3 linked regions of the Oryzias latipes genome follow. The protein of the gene in region 3 purifies or fractionates together with the protein of the main gene of each other region. This does not show direct contact. Links are inferred from orthologs where the notes say so. Each region holds a gene or a part of one and is shown on either strand. Other genes may lie near its edges.

Region 1 (3,647 bases), on a different chromosome or scaffold from region 3:
GCGTCAATATTCTCACCTGAGTTAACAAGACGATTACTGAAATGAACTCAGCAGGTCCTAAACATGACAGTAATGAAATGCAGTGGACAGTTTTTTTTCGGGATAAAGTTAATTTTCATGGCAATTGGATTTCATGGCAAATTTCATGGCAAAATGGACTATGAAATTCATCTGATGACTCATCATAATATTCTAGAGTATATGCAAATTGCTATTATAAAAACTTAAGCAACAACCTTTCCAATTTCCAATATTTATGGAATTCTCAAAACTTTTGCCACGACTGTACAATTTATTCCCTCATAATAACACCTAAACACTTCAACAGATCAGCTTTAATATGATTTAGCACTTAGTTCATCCAGGCTTGGAACATGATTTAAAATGAGCCTTTAAAGTTGATGCAGGAACTGGGCAGTGTTGACTTTTCTCTGTTTGGAGAAGCAGCACTCCAGCCAGGCCTTCTGCACAGGAACAGCCGCTGGGTACCGACCCCTCAGATCCTGGAGCTCCTGGTTCACAAAGGTTTGGTTGATAAAAAAGGATTTTTTTTATCGTATGTTTGGTTTGACATATTTGCACATTATAATTTAGACAATTCAGAATAAGACATTGACGGAGCAGAGTTGTACAACATGGACAAAAGCTTCATTGTCTCCACCTCTTGGTGCATTTGTGTCTTGTGAGATTTTGTGATTTGTTCCAGTTGTTATCTGTCTTTCACTTTTCCAGTTTCAGGCTTCTGATTGATGTAAATAGACTTCACTGCTGCTGTCAGAATCGCCTGCAGGAGGTCATTGTTGGATCTTCTTCCATGGAGTTTGATATGAGGCCCAGCAGAACCACTGCTCTAGAGCAGCATCAATCCCTTCTGTCCTGCTCGAGTCTGCCACATTCAGTGAAGTTCTAAAGATGACTTGATCATTTAGTTGTCTAAAATATTTCCAGTCACCGCCACATGTGGAGTTAGCATCCCTCCTCTAGCCAGTGTTTGTTCCAAAACCATCTTTAAAACCCAAAGTCTCAGTACCTTCATGATGTCTTTTTGCATTTCCCCCACGCTCCTTTAGACCACATTCTGGTAAGTGTTGGATTATTACTTATTTTCCAAAAAGGCCCCATATTTTTGTAGAGCTTTGAATTGACTGATGGAGAGCTCCTGCCTGGACGCTCAGCTCCTCCCATCATATTTCCTCTCTTCACTCTTCCCTCCATGACTTTATTCTGTACTTTTAACAGCTCGACTTGCCTTTAAGATCAAATACTGTAGTTTGTATGGTCACTTCCTGGTCCACAGCACGGTCTCAAAGGCTTTTTTCAGCTTTCAGCTTTTTCACACTCAGAGCTTCCTTCAATGTCTTTAGCTCTACTCTCAGCACTCGTATGATTACTTTCCTCAGTGAGGAGAGAGTTTTGGCTTTAATTTTGTTTGTATTTGGGGGGGCGAGCAGCTTCAAGTATCTGGACTCTGAGCTGAGGAGGTTCTGTGTTTTAAACGGAGACAAGCTTTATCTCCAGAGATTTGATGTCGTTAATACCTATTCAGCTGTCTGGGACCTCACATTATTTTGCATCTCCATGTCATTAGACATTATGACTAAGGGAGATGCTGGAATAGCTGGAAAACTCTCCTCTGTGAATCCTTCATAAAAAAGTGTCCTGCTGGGAGCAGGATACAAACCTGTGTGTGGATGTTGTTCTCCACCTCTGCTACAATGTGGGTGACGTTGTCGCTCAGGACGTCCTCTTCATCTCCATCATATGTGTTTTGAAGTTAAGGAGTCGTTTTGACGCTGACATATTTGACATATTAGGCTTTTGAAGGCGTTTCAGAAACACAGAAAGCTGTGAAAGGATATGTGATAAGGTAGCGAGCCATACTTTTTCTTTCTGATGCAGGAATATTGTAGAAAAACACACGGACTCCGTGCATGAAGCCCGGCAGCTCTGTGCCGCCCTTCACTTGAGCTTTGCTTTCTGCTACGCCCACGTCGCTCCCCCCATCTGAGCTGGTTGATGCCTGTTTGGGGTCTACCGTTGACGCTCCCGCCGCTGCTGCCGCTGCTGTCTGAGGTGCCATTGTTTTCCTGTCCACTTTCTTGTAATAGTATCTGGGAGTTCTGTTAAGGAACACACAGCCTGAACCAGAACGTGTGAGTTCAGAAGATGGCGTGTTAGGATACATGAAGGTGGCAATCCCTTTGGAGGTCAGATGCTTCCTGATGAGCCTCTCAGTGCCATACCAGTTAAAAGCTTTGGTGGAGTGGCCGATACGGGGAAGATGAACACTGGCTGTTTAGAAACAAAAACAAAGAAAGATCAGAAACGGACACCAGTGTAAGCATTCGTCACATGCACCCGTACAGCGGTTGACCCATTTGGGTGCTGCGGGTTTTCGGGTTGTCTGGGCCCATAGAGGCTCGTAGAGAGGAGTGGCCACACCTTAAGGGGAGCAGAGGTATGTCTTGCAGTTCCCTTGAGGCTCATACGGTCACCTTAAGGGACGTCATAAAAATGTAACATACCATTATCGTGCGTTTGGTGAGAGTATCGTCAAGTATTTGTAAGGATAATGTGAGTTAGACACACTTATGACATACAGGTAATGCTTTTGTACGATCCCTGTACGCTACAATCTTAGTCTCCTTACTGACCGTGCACAAAGGCTACACACTCGGGGCGTGCATGTGATATGTCCAGTAAGTGCCTGTAGGATGCCTGTGGAATGCCCACACAAGCCACACTCTGATTGTCTAATCTCCTAATTTCTAACAGTCAGGACAGATTTACCATGTGAACAGCACTAACAAGCTTCTAGTGCTTTAAAGGGGTTTAAAGGACAACTCTGTAAAACACGCCTACATTTCACCTACCGGTACTTCCCTCTTCCTTACCCTTATGTGTTGTACATGTGTTCACTATGATCTGTTGTTCCTAGGGAGCCCGTGGGAAAAATGTGCTTGACCATTTTGGCAGTCCTGGCTCACCGAGCGATCTACGACTTTGTTTTTTGTGTGGGCGACCGTGTGTTCTGTACGAATCTGAAGACAGCCCTATCCACCCGTAAGGGCAGCTGTGACTAATGTTTCAATGCAGGTAATCACAGAAGGTTTAGTTCAAGTTTAATGTTTAATAGGTGAGTTGCTTCTATCCCTTGTGCCTTGGAGGCACGTTAACGTTGGGAGTTGGGTCATCTAGACCCACTAGACAGTGCGCTGAACCTTTTTTCTTCAATGATTTGTGATCTTCACTGGTGTCCATGGATTACATGAAATCCTCTCTACCTTTATCCACCTTTGTCATGGTAGGAAGAACATGTCAATGTAAGGGTGGGGTCATCTTGACCCCATAAGATAGCACCAGGGTTACTTGATCCAGTTCTCTTATACAGTCAATTGATTTAAACTCAGCCTCCAAGGCATGTTAACCTTGGGAGTGGGGTCATTTGGACCCAACAAGAAAGCACAAGGGTTAAAGGAACTAGCCAGGGGAACCAGATCTGGGTTTGAACATTTAAGTCCTCAAATACTTTGGCAAATGCACCATTATAGCCTTTAAACCTGACATCTACATAAAGAAAAGTGACATTTTTTGAGCCAAGCCCAGATGCATCCTGCTCGGTTTTTAGGCAAAAGAATGAAGGAGGT
Region 2 (3,313 bases), on a different chromosome or scaffold from region 3:
TTTTGGCACAAAAAAATAGCATAATCATAATTAAAAGACCACTGGGAACACTTTAAAAAAAGACCAAAAGATGATCAAAGTGAAACCTTAAACAATTTAAAGCAATTTTCTTTGTAGCAATCTCATGAAGAAGGTCATACCCAAAAAAAACTCCAAAGTAAACTCAGATTGTCAGCAAAGCAACACTCGCTGCTCTAAAGTTGTACTTGTTCTTCCTCCCACCAGGGGGCATCATGTCCAGTTTTCTGATGGGCTGCTACGACCCAGACTCAAAGAAATGGTGCACCGTGACCAAGTGCTCCGGAGGATACGATGACGCCATGCTGGCCCGGCTCCAGAAGGAGCTGGATGTGATTAAAATCAGCAAGGTCAGAGAAGATCCACTTAGAGAGGCGGAGCTGGAAAATTCCAAACAGTCAGGAGTTCATCCTCTGCTTCTGTAGGAGCCGAGCAAAATCCCCGGCTGGCTGAAAATCGTCAAGAACTATTATCCAGATTTCATTATCCGCGACCCTGAGGTGAGGTGTTCCGCTCGGCGTCCGGATCCTGCAGGAAAGCGCCAGCAGTGCTCGCGGGCCTCTCATGTGCTGCTTCCCTCCCGCAGAAAGCGCCGGTCTGGGAGATAACCGGTGCCGAGTTCTCCAAATCGGAAATGCACACCGCCGACGGCATCTCCATCCGCTTCCCGCGCATGACGCGTATTCGCGACGACAAAGACTGGAAGACCGCCACCAACCTGCACCAGCTCAGGGTGAGACCTTCAGTTTCCTCAGCGGCCTAAAACACAGACGTTTGGGCAGAGATGGCCGACGGCGAGGTGTGCAGTCCAGCTGATTATGTCCCGCTGAGAAGACGGGAGGTCATGTGACAAATGATGAAGAGGAGGAGCAGAGGTTCATGGGTTTAAACGTGCGTCCATCGCTCCCGCAGGAGCTGTTCCGCATCTCCAAGGAGCACTGCGACTTCAAAGTGACGGCCGGCCCGTCCACCGCCGACAACAACAAAGGGTCGTCAGGGGGGGACAGCACGGGGAGCTCGCCGTCGCCCTCTTCCAACACGAGCGCTCCCCCCAAAAAGACGGGTAAGTTCATCTCTGATGTCGAGTCTCCCTCAGAACGTCTGTTCTGGCTCCAAATCAAAGGAAAAGAAAAAACCTCAATGTCAATCTGATGCTAACATTTCACAGCTAACAGAACACCAACGAAAGCAAAGGCCCAGAAGTCGGAACCCCGCACTCCCAACTCGGAAGCTTCCAGCGCCAAAAAGGTGGGCAGGGCCGACGTGAACTGATATTTGGGATCTGGGTCAGGTTCGTTAAGAAAAGAGGAAATCCTGCCGGACTTTAGTAAAAAGTGTTTGATCCGACGACATTTAGTCACTAAACAGCTGCAGACGTCTCCATGGAGAAACAGTCTAAGATTTTAAACGTCTTTTACAATTGTTTAAGCTGAATGCACCTTTTTAATTCAACAGCAACGTAAAATTGTTTACAGTTCATTATTGCTTTATTTATAACACAACAACATGAAATTATTCAGTAAGAAATGTCAGCAGTTCCATTATAAACTCTGGAAAGTTCAAATAACCGTTTTGCTCTCCAGTTCTTCTATGAGTAGCTCCGCCTAGTGTCCAAACCAGGAAGTGCAGTCGTGTAAAACTGACTAGTTTTTCCACAAACAGATGAAGAAAAGCGAAAATGTCAACAGCAACGGGCAGCAAAGTAAACCCAGAGCGACCCCCCAGCTCCTGGAGGCCAGGAACGACAAGGTGGGTCCAAAACCCTCCCTGTCCTCCCCCAGGACTCGCACTGACCGGCGGTCCTCACGAGGGCGTCTACAGACAGACCAGCGTTTGGGTTGAAAGTAGAAATAATCAGAGAACAATGTAAATGTTGTCTGTGGTTCTGGAGCAGCTGAACAATAGAACCGGCTTTATTCTTCTTTAATGTTCTGATTCAGACTCAAGCCTTTTATGAGGAAGAGTTTCAAACATGACATTGTTGTCCTCGCGGGTCTGGACGACCCGTAAAGTCTAAACGATGTATAAAAAAGCGGGCAACTGTGTTTGATTTAAAGTTTAAATGAGGTGAAACTCCTAATCAAATCCAGCCTTCAAACTTTGGTTCTGGACCGTCTCAAAGGTCCAGTTCTACTCCAGAGAACCAGTTAGAAGCTGAAAGACTAGATTAAAAACAGGTCTGTCAAAAAGTTATTTTCTTCCAGCGAACAGCTTACTTCTTCGGTTCTGTACGCCGGGGGGGAGGGGCATGACGCGTGTTTGTGTTTGGCCGCCCTGCAGACGCTGCTGGACATCTTTGGTGGGGTGAAGCTCTTCCTGCCCGCCTCCATCCAGGACGCCGACAGACTCCGGAGGTACTTCGTGGCGTACGACGGAGACCTGGTGGCGGATTACGACGCCGCCTCCGCCACGCACACGCTGGCCCCACCCGGAGAGGACAGCCGGGCTCAGAGGGTGTCGCCCAGCTGGATCTGGGAATGCATCCGGAAGAGGCGCGTGGTGCCCCCCTGCTGAGAGAGTTGGAACCATCAGCCTCGGCTCTCAGGAACGGGTTCTGCAGATGAATTAGCAGATCTGATGGACTTTTTCTTTTTTCTACTACAAACGCTAAAATCATGAACTGAACACGAGATGTAGATGAAAGCAGACTTCTGTAGTTTAAAGTTAGAACTGAAAGCTTGTATTAAATCCTTGGTTTTTGTCACAGATACAAGCGACTCCTCGTCTCTTTTTTTAAGCACTTTTAGGCAAAAAAAGGAAAACGTTCACAGAGTTTACGTTAACGCCACATACAAACGTGTTCCCAAGAAAAGTGCTGCCATGAAGCTCAAACACTCCAGAAGAAGCTCAATTAAAGTTGGAAGTTCTCAAATGAAAACGTCCAAAAACAGGGCGCTAGCCTGTTTCCATGGCAACGGCCACCTCAACACTAAATAACTAGAGGAAATACTGATTAGTTAAGGATTTAAAGGAAGAGAACTTGTGTCTACAACTTTTTTACTACGCAAATGAAGGTATGGAAGTGTATTGAGTGCATTAAAAAAAGTCTGGTATTTATTTCTAGATAACTTTCTTTGTTTTTTGCTGTAAATCTTTATGAACTACAAAGTTTATTTTTTTACAGCAAAAAGGATTTTGAAGAAACAAAACTTTAAAAAAAGAAATTTTCTCGAAAAAAATCTCGAATAAAACAAATTCTCTAAGAAAATCCTGGGGACAAGGAGACGAGTACAAAGCGCATTACTCCAACAGATTAAGCTTACTGTAATAGTCATAGTACTTTAATGATTGAATC
Region 3 (4,397 bases):
ACCCTCCACCCTTATCCAGAAGCAAAGAGGGAGACGGACAGCTCAATGGCATGAGGAGGTGCGATGAGGAGGAGGTCAATGACCTTCATCATCAAGGAGGTCAGGGACCTTCACTTACATGAGGGTCATGTGATGAGGGAGGGGCCTCAGAGGGAGGCATCAGAACTCCCCCGCCCCCCCTATAACCTGGCCATATTGGGGGAGGGGGGAGACCAGGCTCACCTTCCAGGAATGGCCGTGGCTCCTGTCGCGGTCCACCTCCCTCTGGCAGACGGCGCGCACCACCAGGCCCTGCCCCCTCCACAGCTGCTCGCTCTGCTGGATGACGGCGTGCCACAGCCGGCAGGTCTGCGAGGCGCGGCACAGGCTGTCAGCGTCCAGCTGGCTGAAGATCCGCACGCTCATCTCCAGAGGAAGCGCCTCCACAAAGTTCAGAGGGGGGCGTTCGGGGGGGGCTGCCATCAGGGTGGGGCTTCCTTCCATCGGGTGTGGGGGCGGAGTCTCTGCAGGTTCATCCTGCATCATAAGGGGGGAGGGGGAGGGGGCGACTGAAAGATGAAAGACATTTATGGGGGTGTCAATCAGATTTTAGCACGTGGATCGTGTAGTCTCAGACCCACCTGGTCTGCTCCTCAGGGGTCCACAGCAGTCCGGGATCCGGATCGGCCTTCAGAACCTTTTCATGTGGCCTCACTTCCGGTCACGTTTCAAAAACGTCACAGGTGCTGAAGACAGAAGTCCTACCTGCTCTCTGTTTGGCACCTGAGCCTCGGACGTGGGGGCGGGAGGCGCACGTGACCGAAGCCTCAGAACCGGATCAGGGCTCAAGCGGGACCCCCCACCGGGACCCCACCCCCACCTCCGTCTAAACGAGTGTTTTGGGGGAGAGCAGCTAGCAGACAAACGCCGCCGGTTCCGGTCTGAACTCCGAGCAGAAACGGAATCGGGTTCTTTCCCGAGACGCTGAACCACAGGGACGCAGTAATCAAGCGCGGACAGGACACGGGGTTTGATCCCGACAGCTGACTGTTTAAATGTCCCAACGGTTGTTTGTACACAGACGTGACGTCATCGTGAATTTAAACCACGCGCATGCGTAGAAAGGCCTCACTGTCAAAAAACCAAACTCCGTTGTTTTTAAACTTTTGTAATCTAATGTGAAATTTAAAGAGAAAATATTCTTACTTAAAATCCAAACAATTTATCTTTTTTTGAACGTTTTTTTCTGCGCAGGTCAGTTTACTGATCAACACTTTAACTTCAGGCTGACATGAACATGTTAAGTTTTTGTTTATTTCAATTTTTAATTACTCAAATTGGATCTTTCGTAAAAATCGATGGAAATTTTAACTTTTTTGCTGACACCTTAAAGACACCACTGCGCATGCTCCACTGGAAACCGGAAGTCTGGATTCAAAAGTAGCGGAAGTTGTTCCCGAATTCACCTGCGGCTCTCAGACCCGGATTTCATAGTCCAGATCCGCAGAGACCCGGGTCAATTGGACCCAACGCATTTTCCGAACCGCGTGTGTTGATAAACTCTTCCCGCCAGCCGGACCCCCCCGCCTCCGGAGCTCATGTCCGGCTTCCTCCTGGTCCCGGTGGATGGCGGGAATCCGGTCCCCGTTCCGCCAGGGGAGACGCTGCTGGGCCGGGGTCCCCTGCTCACAGTGAGTCCCGCAGAGTGTCGGGTCAGACAGAGGCGGGGCACGGTCACGTGACTCCGCTGCCACAGCTGGCAGGTGATCACCTGACCTCTGACGCAGAACTGGAGCTGGTACCCCCCTCAGGACAAGTTCCTGAGGGGACGTGGTGTGAGGGACGCTGATCCTCAGCTCCATCGCCTCACAAGTGACTGAGTGTTTCTGTCTCCACCCCAGATCAGCGACAAGAGGGTGTCGAGACGCCACGGGCTGCTGCAGAACCTGGACGGAGAGCTGCGCCTCAAACCGGTACCGACCCCCCCCAGACACACACTCTCCTAGAGTTCTGAACACGGCGAGGTTCAGGAGGACGCCGCCGTCACGTTTTCGGTTCTGCTAGAGTTTGCATGTAGAAAATCCAGACGGTTCTGGTTCCACAGCGACCCGATCGGGTCTTTCAGTTCAGGGTTTGATGATGTCACATCCGGCCAAGATGGAGGAAACCACTGACGTTACATGAACAACGCAACCCGTCACACGGTTTGACCAAAACAGAACCGGATCTGTTTGAGTCCGGTTCAGCTTTACTGAAACGGTTCTGAAGAAGATCCAGGTGGAACTTCAGGCAATCAGAACCATGTGGATCCATCCAGGATGACCTCTGACCTTCTCTGTTCTGTCTCTGCACCTCCTCAGAGGAGGAGCCGTGCCGTCTGCAGATGGTCCTCCTGGTGTCTTCGGGCCTCCCCAGATCCCAAACTGATGCGCTCATGTCCCTCCCCAGACCCACGCCAACCCGTGCTTCATCCAGGCCTCCCTGTCCTCGGAGCCCCGCCCCCTGCCCCAAGGATCCTGGTACACGCTGCGCGATGGCGAGCTGCTCTCTCTGCTGCCGGGGCGGCTGGTCTTCAGGGTGGAGGCCGTGGGCTCCAGGTATTCCAGGAGGGTGTGGGCGGCGCCGCTTTTGTTTGAAGCTGGGATCAAACAGACGGAGGAAGACCCTCCAGCTGATGAAGAGCTGCTCCTGCAGGAGCTGCCTCACGTCTCTGTGTCCTGCAGGAGCATCCGGAGCGCTGAGGAGGAGGAGCAGCTTCCCGCCTCAGGAGAAGGTCAGGAGGGTCCAGCAGGAGAGGAGGGGGCGGAGTCAGACGGGAGATCCCGACAGGTGGGTGCCCCGCCCACACCGTTATGTCAGGCCCTGCGCTGAAGCATCAGGAAGGAAACGGTCCTCGAACCCTCGTTGTCCTTTGAAGTCCGGCCTTTGATCTTCACAGACCAACATGGAGGATCAGAGGCACGCCGCTCTGTCTGAGGTCAGGGTTCGAACCCTTCCTGCCTGGATGATGGCGGCCGCCGTGCAGACCCCAGCCCTCATGCTCAAAGGTAACTGTGGCAAACGGTGCAAAGATTCATGGGTAAAAAAGCCAAATTCAACCAGAGAACCCGAAGGAATCTCTGTATGCCAGGGGAACGCTCAGAACACGAGAGAACACCTGGACTCACCTGAGCGGAACAGCAACGTCCTGCAGAGACCATCTTTGGCTCTTCCTCAGAAATTGCTCTGATCGCTTAGAAAGAGCCGGATCCAGTTCTGATCTGACTGACCGGTTCTGTCTGGTTGTGGTTCTGCTCTGTAGAAGCATGTTGTTGGTCTGATGGGGTTTTGTGTGTGTTTAGTTCAGTCAACTCTTCAGAGGAGGAAACGACCTGCTGGCGGTGTTCAGGCCACGCCCACATCGAAAGAGGAAGAGGAGCAGAGAAAGAGGAAGATGAATGCTGAGGAGGAGAAGGCACCTGAAACGGTTGAGTAAAGCGGTGATGAAGATGCTGAAGCTAAAACCTGCTGAGCTTCTCTGTCTGGAGGTTCCTCCTGGACGGTTCTGAGGAACCCGCCATGCAGACGGTTCTAAGGAACGGTTCTGAGGAACCCGCCATGCAGACGATTCTGAGGTTCTAAGGAACAGTTCTGAGGAACCCGCCATACAGACGGTTCTGTCGGTCTAAGGAACGGTTCTGAGGAACCCTCCATGCAGACGGTTCTGAGGTTCTAAGGAACGGTTCTGAGGAACCCGCCATGCAGACGATTCTGAGGTTCTAAGGAACAGTTCTGAGGAACCCGCCATACAGACGGTTCTGTCGGTCTAAGGAACGGTTCTGAGGAACCCGCCATGCAGACGGTTCTGAGGTTCTAAGGAACGGTTCTGAGGAACCCGCCATGCAGACGATTCTGAGGTTCTAAGGAACGGTTCTGAGGAACCCGCCATGCAGACGGTTCTAAGGAACGGTTCTGAGGAACCCGCCATGCAGACGATTCTGAGGTTCTAAGGAACAGTTCTGAGGAACCCGCCATACAGACGGTTCTGTCGGTCTAAAGAACGGTTCTGAGGAACCCGCCATGCAGACGGTTCTGAGGTTCTAAGGAACGGTTCTGAGGAACCCGCCATGCAGACGATTCTGAGGTTCTAAGGAACAGTTCTGAGGAACCCGCCATACAGACGGTTCTGTCGGTCTAAGGAACGGTTCTGAGGAACCCGCCATACAGACGGTTCTGAGGTTCTAAGGAACGGTTCTGAGGAACCCGCCATGCAGACGGTTCTGAGGTTCTAAGGAACGGTTCTGAGGAACCTTCCATGCAGACGGTTCTGAGGTTCTAAGGAACGGTTCTGCGGAACCCTCCATGCAGACGATTCTGAGGTTCTAAGGAACGGTTCTGAGGAACCCGCCATGCAGACGGTTCTGAGGTTCTAAGGAACA

Evidence for each region.
Region 1: the proteins of aplf (region 3) and chd1l purify together in Homo sapiens (affinity purification with mass spectrometry; 4 studies listed by BioGRID and IntAct, counting the BioPlex papers as one, with this or other methods). This does not show direct contact. The link is inferred for Oryzias latipes from reciprocal best matches to the Homo sapiens genes APLF and CHD1L.
Region 2: the proteins of aplf (region 3) and lig3 purify together in Homo sapiens (affinity purification with mass spectrometry; 3 studies listed by BioGRID and IntAct, counting the BioPlex papers as one, with this or other methods). This does not show direct contact. The link is inferred for Oryzias latipes from reciprocal best matches to the Homo sapiens genes APLF and LIG3.

Annotation. Positions count from the first base shown.
Region 1 is NC_019862.2:6,469,572-6,473,218, reverse strand, and holds the end of chd1l (chromodomain-helicase-DNA-binding protein 1-like), read right to left. Parts: intron 2,293-3,647; coding exon 2,184-2,292; intron 2,112-2,183; coding exon 1,860-2,111; intron 1,764-1,859; coding exon 1,682-1,763; intron 513-1,681; coding exon 393-512; 3' UTR 238-392; downstream 1-237. UniProt on the Homo sapiens protein: ATP-dependent chromatin remodeler that mediates chromatin-remodeling following DNA damage.
Region 2 is NC_019872.2:27,681,015-27,684,327, forward strand, and holds the end of lig3 (DNA ligase 3), read left to right. Parts: intron 1-225; coding exon 226-368; intron 369-443; coding exon 444-518; intron 519-604; coding exon 605-751; intron 752-930; coding exon 931-1,081; intron 1,082-1,186; coding exon 1,187-1,266; intron 1,267-1,680; coding exon 1,681-1,767; intron 1,768-1,889; exon of another isoform or gene 1,890-2,298; coding exon 2,299-2,532; 3' UTR 2,533-2,728; downstream 2,729-3,313. UniProt on the Homo sapiens protein: Isoform 3 functions as a heterodimer with DNA-repair protein XRCC1 in the nucleus and can correct defective DNA strand-break repair and sister chromatid exchange following treatment with ionizing radiation and alkylating agents.
Region 3 is NC_019859.2:725,982-730,378, reverse strand, and holds the start of aplf (aprataxin and PNK-like factor), read left to right. Parts: upstream 1-1,551; 5' UTR 1,552-1,577; coding exon 1,578-1,670; intron 1,671-1,880; coding exon 1,881-1,952; intron 1,953-2,427; coding exon 2,428-2,576; intron 2,577-2,702; coding exon 2,703-2,808; intron 2,809-2,917; coding exon 2,918-3,026; intron 3,027-3,320; coding exon 3,321-3,445; intron 3,446-4,397. Other genes in the region: fbxo48 (F-box only protein 48), read right to left, coding at 223-525. UniProt on the Homo sapiens protein: Histone chaperone involved in single-strand and double-strand DNA break repair.